Sus scrofa: one gene and its partner. The protein of the gene in region 2 purifies or fractionates together with the protein of the main gene of each other region. This does not show direct contact. Links are inferred from orthologs where the notes say so. Each region holds a gene or a part of one and is shown on either strand. Other genes may lie near its edges.

The links. The genes of interacting proteins can lie anywhere in the genome.
Region 1: the proteins of PRKAR2B (region 2) and PRKACB purify together in Homo sapiens (affinity purification with mass spectrometry; 7 studies listed by BioGRID and IntAct, counting the BioPlex papers as one, with this or other methods). This does not show direct contact. The link is inferred for Sus scrofa from reciprocal best matches to the Homo sapiens genes PRKAR2B and PRKACB.

Annotation. Positions count from the first base shown.
Region 1 is NC_010448.4:129,540,819-129,545,870, reverse strand, and holds part of PRKACB (cAMP-dependent protein kinase catalytic subunit beta), read left to right. Parts: intron 1-2,560; coding exon 2,561-2,683; intron 2,684-5,052. UniProt on the Homo sapiens protein: Mediates cAMP-dependent signaling triggered by receptor binding to GPCRs.
Region 2 is NC_010451.4:106,944,446-106,949,497, forward strand, and holds part of PRKAR2B (cAMP-dependent protein kinase type II-beta regulatory subunit), read left to right. Parts: intron 1-3,364; coding exon 3,365-3,466; intron 3,467-4,974; coding exon 4,975-5,049; intron 5,050-5,052. UniProt on the Homo sapiens protein: Regulatory subunit of the cAMP-dependent protein kinases involved in cAMP signaling in cells. Type II regulatory chains mediate membrane association by binding to anchoring proteins, including the MAP2 kinase.

The DNA.
Region 1 (5,052 bases), on a different chromosome or scaffold from region 2:
AACTTTAGTTTAAAAATAGTATTATAGCAAATGAATATAATCTTAAGACAGTTCTACTTTTCTAAACAGAGAAAATGTGATGAGAAATTTTTAATCATATCTGAAATGATGTTTTAACCTCTGTTTTCCTTTCTTCTGCCATCCTTTGGTGGAGAAAGCCAGAAAAGAAAAACTGATAATTGGGCATAGACAGGAACCAGGAAAGAGAAAGAGAACCTGCCTCAATACTTAGACACTCAATAACTACCTTCTGAATAATTCAAATTTGGCTAACCTATAGAAGTGTTAGAATAAAATAAAAGAATTATTTCAGCTTTATTCTCATTATCTTTCATGATTTAAATCATCTATAACTATACTCTGGTTTCTCTCCAGATCATATAAATCTTTCACCTTTTTAAATCATCTATAACTTTGTCTTTTATAATCTAAATTTCATTGCTAATAACATATTTCTTCTTCAAGTGCATTTAACAAATAAGGTGTTTGTCATAAGCACCAAAACTTTAAAAAATGTGTTTATATGTATGAAGAAATATTCATTGTATGGAATCAGGAAAATACAGAAAAATAAAAATAATCAAGAAAGCTATAGTCTCACCACCCAGAGGTAGCCTTTTTAAAAACATCTTAATATATTTTCTTATGCATGTTATATCGAATGTACAATTTTGTATTCATCTTTTTTCACCTGAATGATAACAAGCCTGAAAATATAATTCTAATGGCTTATTTGAAAATGTACCATATTGTATTTTGCCACTCTTCTCTTGTCGTTGAATATTCAGGTTATTTTGTTTTTTTCTATTATAAATAACTATGAGAAACATCTTTGTGCATAAAGCCTTTTCTGTGTTTTAAATTATTTTTTAAGGTTAGATTCCTAGAAGTGGAATTACTAAGTCAGAGGGTATGAACATTTTTAAGGGTTTCAATACATATCGCCAAAGGGCTTTCCAAAAAGCTTGTAACATTTTACACTCCTCAGCAGTGTTTGAGAGTGCCTATATCAAACTTTCTGCAGCATTGGGTATTCTTTATTTTAAAAAGCATTACTAATTTGATAGGCAGTAAACAACATCTGATTATTTTAAGTCTCATGTCTTTTATTATTAGCTTTTTTAATGCTTTATAGCCATTTGGTATTTATGAATGTGTATGAATTATTAGTTCATGTCCTTAGCCCATTTATCTATTATAATTGTTTTTCTTATTGATTTGTTTTAATTTTTTATACCTAGGGTATTAAAAGCATCTAACATACTTATTATAAACAGTAGCACACAATCTGAAACATAAAACCAAAATTTAGTAAAAGGATCTGTTTGAACATTACATGTTTTCATTATAGCAAAAAATGTTGTAATTACATTACTAGGGAGTTGAGTTTAAAGAATTAAAGCACGGTTGATGCCCATTTCTATAAGCTAAACAAAGTGCTATTCCAATTATACTAGTCTCTTTTTAAAAACATACAGAAACAGGAAAGAAAAAAGAAATCTCCATATCACAGTATTATATTTTAGCCAGTAGTTTGAAAATTAAATAGCTTAAAAAGCTAAAATTTTGACAAAAGGTTGGAATATGGGGAGTGGTAAAGGTAATTAAAGAATATACCTGAGGGCAGATCAAAAGATCTGGCAAGAACTCAGCTCATTTCCTTCCATGATCAAACTGGGTTTTTTCCATAATCTTTTGTGCCAGTTGACATTGATTGTAGTTGATAACAAACTTTATATAAATATGTTAATACCTTATTCTTATTTATTTTCTTATAAATACTTCTAGATCTTAATGTTAGTAAGCTTAATATGAAAAAAACAAATCCAGTTAAGAATAGCCTTAGAATTATATACCCTTGATTTGCAGCATTCTCTTTGTACATATTATTTCCTTTATTTGATAAAGTCCTCACAGAACCCCCTGAATTAATCATCTTTCCTATATACTTTTTAGAGATGAGAAACAAAACAATAAAGTATACTTAAAGATTTACATGTGTTCGCTTCCACATTAAATGTTTAGCTTCCATAAGGTCCTATAAAGAGGATGGAATTCACTTCACAGGATGTTCACCCTCCTAATTACAAATATGTAGAGTATTTTGAAGTTAATTCCACTATTTATTATGAAGTACATCAACTCTTTCATTTCAGAACATTTGACCTTTCTAAGTATTTTCTAGAAAACCTGATTCATAAGATTATGGAACTAGAATGGGCTATAAGAGGTAATTTGGTCCAACTCCCTTCCTATTGTTGAACAACACTGCTATCCCAGTTAAAAGGGCATATTTTATTGTCTATAATATTCTTAATTATTTTTAGGAAAAAATTTAATAATATTTTCCTACTATCTAATCTCAGTATCTGGAAGTTCTCCCCTTTGTTTAATTCAAATCTGACCTGATACATTGTGTTTTTTATTTCATCCTGCATAACTACTCAGAACCTATTTTTAAAATTTCATGTGTTTGAAGATTATTTTGAAATAATTTATGATATTCATTCTCTTCTGAGTGAGTTAAGTAATAACAGACGTTTGTGTTGGTTTACTTTAGGGCTACAATAAGGCAGTGGATTGGTGGGCATTAGGAGTATTAATCTATGAGATGGCAGCTGGCTACCCCCCATTCTTTGCAGACCAACCCATTCAGATCTATGAAAAGATTGTTTCTGGAAAAGTAAGTAATACAATTTATTATTTCTTGATTATTCATTATTTCTATACATGAATTTTAAGCTTTGTACATTGAATCCATTTGATATCATCAGAATATTGTCCTAAATTGGGAATAATACAGAAATACCCATAGTTGCTGCCCTTTTTTCTAATACTTATGGAAGATAACAGCATAAATACCAAATCATTGAAGTCTCTTATGTAAAAAAGGGCAGTTTTACAAACATGTTAGCAAAATAATAAAGCAATTTCCATTTTTAGCATTTTTATCCTTATAAAACACAAAATCATAGCCCTAACTCTTCCATATTTCTTCAAACAAATAAAAATTGTTAGTTATTTCATGTGGAAATCTACGTAGAGAGGTTTTGGGGCTGTTTTTATATGTCCTGGCTTTTTTAGACTTATTGTTTAAATTATGTCAAACAGCATGAAATTGGAAGTAAATATAGAATAGATAAACCTTTTTAAGATGGGAATTCATAGAAATGATGTAAACAGTTGTTCATTTAATGTGATTATAATTGCAATCGATCTTTAGTAAATATGGGAATAACATTAATTTTCTTAAATTTGAGTAGATTTACTATGTCAGAGTACTTTACATTTTGTAATTACTCCACGAAGCTTCCTTCTTTTGCATTTATAATCTCTAATTTTGTTTCCAAGAATATTTTGTTTAAAATTAACCATTTAGAGTTCCATTGTGGCTCAGTGGTAACAACCCAACTAGTATCCTTAAGGACACAGGTTCAATCCCTGGCTAGGTTAAGAATCCAGCGTTGCTGTGAGCTGTGGTATAGGTCACAGACATGGCTCAGATCTGGCATTTCTATGTCTGTGGCATAGGCTGGCAGCTGCAACTCTGATTCCACTCCTAGCCTGGGAACTTCCATATGCTGTGGGTACAGCCCTAAAAAGCAAAAATAAATAAATAGCAAAAAAACTAAAAAATAAAAATTTTAAAAATAAAGTTGACCATTCACTCTTGCCTTAACTCATGCCTCAGATGCATTTTTAAAATGCTACAATTTTAATAGAGATGAGCCTGATTCTGCTTACCACATAGGAGAGAAACAGTAGACTTTCAAAAATGTGTGGAAGGCCTTCTATACATTTATGACAAAGTTCATGGGAAGGGATATTTTCCTTATTTTTTCTTTGTCCCATTCCTGCATGTTGTACCCTCTATTAGTTTGTCTTTTTTTGGGGGGAGGGATCACATAACATCAATATTGACATGACCTTACCCTAAAATGTGATGTAGTTGACATTTATGTATTTTGTAGCCTTCTAAGACATAAGCCTACTCAACCTAAAGAAAGGAGATAGGGGAAAAAAATCTATCTATTTGTATCTCAACCAGATTTATGCTCTGCATTTAGTATGAAAGCTAAGCCTTAGCATTTGAACTTGAAATTTATAGTTTCAGCTCTTCGCAAGGTAGCCTGAATATCCGTAATGTAGTAAATTATCTTTTTTACCAAGACCTAAATTTAAATTATGGATGCTGCATGGCTGGGCTATAGGAGCAAGATACCAATAGAATAAGTCTGTCCAGCTACCTAGAATCTACATCTCAGCATGTTATTTTTCCATATCTCATAGTGCTTATGCAGTCTACAGGGATCACTATTTTCAGTTATATTTTACTGCATTTTATGGTATTTACAACTAGGGGACTAAACTAAAGAACATATACTTCAACCATGTCAAAGGCAAAAAATAAATACCTCTTCCAGACACCTAAGCTAGGTTTTTAAAGATTTTTACTAAGATAATACAGAAAGACAGAATGAAGTATTTAGCAGTATTTAGGTAATTAAGTATTACTGCCCTTGCAGTTTTCTTATCTTTGTAATTGTTTTCACCCAGCAGAATATTAAGGTCACAGTTAAAGAACTTTTGAGATGAACAAAACAAAAAATCAAGAAAAATTAATAGAGAAGGAAGTGATTTATTTTTTAGGAATTCGAGAAGTGATTACGTAAAATCCTGAAAAAATAAGAACCAGAGGTCATATGAAGAATGATGAGAAAACTGAAATACTTTTAAATCACTTAATGGGAGAAGCACATTTTACTAATACAAAGACTAAAAATATATAAATTATAGTAATAGTTCTGAATAATTTAATTACAGGCAATTACAAAGTTCCTGAATCATTACTCTATTACTTTAATTTATACTTAACTTCATAGGAGGAATCAAATTTTCTGACAAGGATGCTATCATAATTAAATTTTATTTACTTTGAAAAATTGCTGTAGTTAAAATTAATATATCATCATTTGTATGAACCGGCCTCTGTTTGCCAGTCGTTTTATATTGTATAAAAGTTTTTTTAGCTGTTTATGAATAAGTTTTCAT
Region 2 (5,052 bases):
AGTTGGAATTGGAATTGTTTCAGGCTCATCATCTGAAGTGTTTTAAGGAGGATGAAAGATCTCAGTACCCAAAGCCAGCAAAGTTAAAAACTCAAACCTGAGTGAACTTGGCCCCTAGGAAGTGCTTACCTGCCCTGTCTTGAGTTTCCTTAAGGAAGGTATCACTGAAAATTTAATCATCCTGATGGGGTTGCTATCCAGAATCAGATTGTCACACGGAAGCCTCCTCTCTGCAGTTCCTCTGAACAAGGTCACATATTTAGCTGGTTGGCCTTTTGATTCCTGATAGTTTTCAGCCCTGGCGGGAACCCTAAACTACTGACAAAGGCCCAGCATTTCCCAGGGTGCATGATACTTAGGTCATTTTCAGAGATTTTTACTAATCTGTACATATTTTAAACTTTACAAACAGTGGCACAGTGAGTTAAGAATTCAACTGCAGCAGCTCGGGTCACTGTGGAGGTGCAAGTTCAATCCCCAGCCCCAGTACAGTGGCGTAAAGGATCTGACATTACTACAACTGTGGCATAGGTTGCAGATGTGGTTTGGAGTCAGTCCCTGGCCTGAGAACTTCATATGCCATAGGTGCAGCCGTTAAAAAAAGAAAGTGGACAGTTTGTGATGATCACCTTGGGGTGTGTGCATAAGTGCAATAGCTGCTTTTAAAAATCATAATAATTAACATAATCAGTTAATACTTCAAACCTGCTTTCTTAGCAATTCACCTAACCAGCCCCCTTCCGGAGAAAGTTTTAAGACCAACAGATTGGAGCTCTGCCGCATCAGTGCAGGTATAAAGATAAGCAAATCTCAAGAGAAAAGTCCTTTGTAGAAGAGTCCAGCTTTGTAAATAAGACGAGGTCACTGTTAGCCCTGGGGAATTAACTGATCTGCAGGACTGTGCTGGTGATTCAGAGAGGTGAGGACTGAAATGACTATAGGATGAAAATCTTTGAAATGGGACTTTCTGGATTTTATTTTTATGTCACAGTGGGTGTGAAGAGGTGAGCCACTAATAGAAATTTTTTTCTGACACACATTGCTCATTATGATTAATTTCTAAATTGCTAACCTCTTTCTAGGCTTCTCTGTTTTGCTGTAAACTCTTCTTCATAAAGTGGTGTGCAGCCAGTCCCCAGAACAGATTACATAGCAGAGTCACTTGGAGAGTTTTTACAGAATACAGATTATTATATATAGAGTCCTGTGTGCCAAGATTTTGAGTCATTAAAGTGTGGGATCTTAGGAGTTTCCGTTGTGGCTCTGTGTCTTAAGAACCTTACTGGGATCCATGAGGATTCAGGTTCGATCCCTGGCCTCACTCACTGGGTTAAGGATCTGGTGTTGCCATGAGCTGCAAAGTAGGTTGCAAACACCGATCCCTCGTTGCTGTGGCTGTGGTGTAGGCTTGGCAGCTGTGGCTCCAATTCAACCCCTAGCTTGGGAACTTCCATATGCCCTGGGTATGGTCCTAAAAAAAGTAAATAAATAAAAATAAAGTATGGGATCTTAGAAACTTTTTTTTTTAAAACACCACTGCTGATTCTGATGCAGAGCTAGACTTGGAAATTATTTCAATATTTTACAATTATCTTAAATTTTTTTCTCTTTTTAAAAAATGACTAAGTCTAAACTATAACCCTTATAAAATTATAATAAACGAAATCGGAGAACAAGATGTTTAGTTTCCTAGAGACTTAATCCACACTTGCATTTTTCCCCCATCCTATCAGTTCATTTAAATTCAGCCTTAATATGTTGGCACAGTAATTTATTAAAGAACATATTCCAATTAATTTTACTTTATATTAAACGGTATTGTTGTTTATCAGTTTATGCCAAACTAACGTAATTCTGAGCACTCTGAGAACTAAATGTTTGGTAGGAATTTTTGTAATATAAAATTTGTAGTAAAACCATTTTTAGAGCCATTAGCTTTAAAGTTTTCCCTGGTTCCTTATTTCACTTCTGTATCCTTGAGGTTAAGTAGTATAAACATAGGAACATTTTAGAATGATGAGCATGATAAACACTGTCATCAAACTCTCCTCAAAGAAGTCGTAGTTTCTCTGTATATTTTAAAAAAGAAACTCTGGTATATGGATGTGATAAAAAGCCTAGTCAATAATTTTTCTATATCTCTTTACATTGTAAGTGCATGATTAAAAATTTTTCCTAATACTGTTTTCCATCGTTTTTTTTTTTACTGCAGTCCACAAGAAACACATTAGGAAATGTCACACCAGTGTATATGTTTGTGTGCCTTTGTGTATAATGGAAATAAATATATAACTCAACACTTGACTAAAAAGGATGCCCACAGATTTTCTCTTTTGTTTTTTCTTTTTTAAAGATGAAAATGCCGGTCATGGGTCAAGGGGGTCAAAAGGTACAAATTTCTAGATACAAATGCATGCTGAGGACAGAGTATACACCACGGTAACCAGTTAATAGTAACAGTGTTGTACATTTGAAATTTCTCATCACAAGAAAAAAAATGTGGTAGCTATATGTATGGTGATGGATGTTAATTAGAGTTAATATGATCATTTCACGATATATACAGATACTGAATCATTATGTTGTACATTTGAAACTAATAAAATGTTGTGTGCCAGTTACACCTAAAAAAAATGCCAGTCATGTCCCACCGAATTGATTTCATAACACTCTAAGGCTGTTATCTGTAGCGAAAGAACTCACTTGCTGGTTTCAATTCTCAGAAACTAAGTAGGATGATGGGGTTGCCAGGGGCTGAGGGTGGTGGGGAAGAGGTAGGTTAAAGAGAAAAAACTTGCAGTTATGAGTAAGTTTTGAGGATCCGGTGTAAAACGTGATGATTATAGTTAACAACAGTATATACTTGAAAGCTGCAAAGAATAAATCTTTAATGTTCTTACCACAGAAAAGAAATGGTAATTATGTGAGGTGATAGCGGTATTAACCATCTGTGGTGGTAATCATTTCACAGTATATAGGTATGTCATATCAACGTATTGTTTATACCTTTAATGCATACGTCATAAATCACTTTTCTCTCAAAAGGGGAGGGGGTGGGGCAGGAAAGAACGGGGAGCGTATTAAGTGGTGCGACAGCGCCACCTTGTGGTGTAGCCCGCCGGTTACACGTTGGTGCTTTCTTTAAAAAACCTGAAAGTCACGTTTTATATGGTTCTACATGTATGCTTAAAGAAGTAATCTGAAATGAGTTACGTTAGAAGTATAATGATGTTCATCTTTTATTTCAAAATCTTCAATTATTGTTTGTTCTTTGTAGGGAATAAATTCAAACTGTCTCTTCAAACCTTCTTTCCCCATAAAGTCTACCTTTTAACTGTCTTCGTATTTGACATTCTGCCTTTAGGACAGGGTAACCTTCAGGAGAATAATTGTAAAAAATAATGCCAAAAAGAGGAAAATGTATGAAAGCTTTATTGAGTCACTGCCATTCCTTAAATCTTTGGAAGTAAGTATATGTTTGTGCTTTTATTTTGCTTTAAAAGCTTTTGTTTTGTTGGGAATGCTTAGTTCTATTGGAAGTTTCTTTGAATAATAATTTATCCATATTTTCATTTGAGAAGATTATATAGCGTTTGTACAGCTCAGCCTTTCTTTTCCTGCCTATAGCTGCATTTGTTTTGTCGTATGTAAGCAATAGACTCCTAGGAGCATCCTTGGCAGATCTGTATTTGGTCTTTATCTGAACGCAGACTTAAAAGAACCCCACAAATGTAGGCAGTGGCCGCTTAGTTATGCCTTTATAGGATCAGATTATCCAAATACAGCACATCCTCACTGGCCTCTCCTCCTTTATTCCTCTTCTCCTTTCTCCTAAAATTGGCATTCTAGGGTCTCTTTTTCTTTTGGCAGGCTCACCCTAACCCTCTTCACATGGTGAACTTGTCAAATCCCCTGGCTTATAAGTCTATTATGTTGATGCCTCTTAGAATTGTTGTTACTGGGCAAGGCCCAGCCCTTGAACGCCAGGCTCATTTATCTAACTGCATATTTAACATTTTCTCTGGGGTGTCTGATAGAAAGCTCACACCTAATCCGGCCCAAACCTCCTCCCACCCCACTTCCCATCTTAGAGACAGCACTGCCATCCTTCCAGCATCTAAGCCACAGTCCTTCGGACTGACGAACTCATGGGCGGATGTGACTCTCTGTTGGCTTAAAGTAGTAGAAATTCAGGCCACATTTCAGAATGCATTTTGGGCAGCTGATCTTTTCCAGCAACAGTTCTCTCTAAATAAAAATAGCTCAGGGGTTGGAAATGCACATGCCTTAGAGTTAACATATTGAAGAAAACCAAGCCAGGATGGGACTTTGGTAAACTGGAAAACATGTGCTCCATCTAAAGAAACAGCTGCTAGTTAACAGAGTTTATTTTTGCAATTTGGAGATATGGGCTGACTGTTGCTGAGTGTCCCGATTTTTCAAGAGAAGCTGGAAATTCAAGTTTTTATTGAAAATTTATTTTAAAATGTGGGCAGTTAATACAGCAAACACACACACACAGACCCACACATTGCTCAGTTTATTTGGCCTATAGGCTACCATTTTTAAACCTTGAAACAGTTAAGGAAGATCTGTGGGCAGTGGATTGAGGATCCATCAGTGTCACAGCGGTGGCTTGGGTCTCTGCTGTGGTGTGGGTTCCATCCCTGGTGTGTGGGAACTAACATGCTATGGGTGTGGCCAGAAAGGAACGAAAAAACCTGAAATAGTTAAGATTACCCGATCAGGCTGTTTCATATAGTCTTGTCCCTCAGTATCTGCAGGACTGTTTCCAGGACCTTGGTGGATGCTCAGTCCCTTACAGTTGGCTGTCCCTATCTCTGGTTCTGCACCCATGGATGGGAGTGGGGGTGGGGTGACTGTTTATTGAAAAAATCTGCATGTAAGTGGATATGCACAGTTTAACCCCATGTTGTTCAGGGGTCAGCTGTATAATCTTCTTTTCCTTTGTAGGTTTCTGAACGCCTGAAAGTGGTGGATGTAATAGGCACCAAAGTGTACAACGATGGAGAACAAATCATTGCTCAGGTA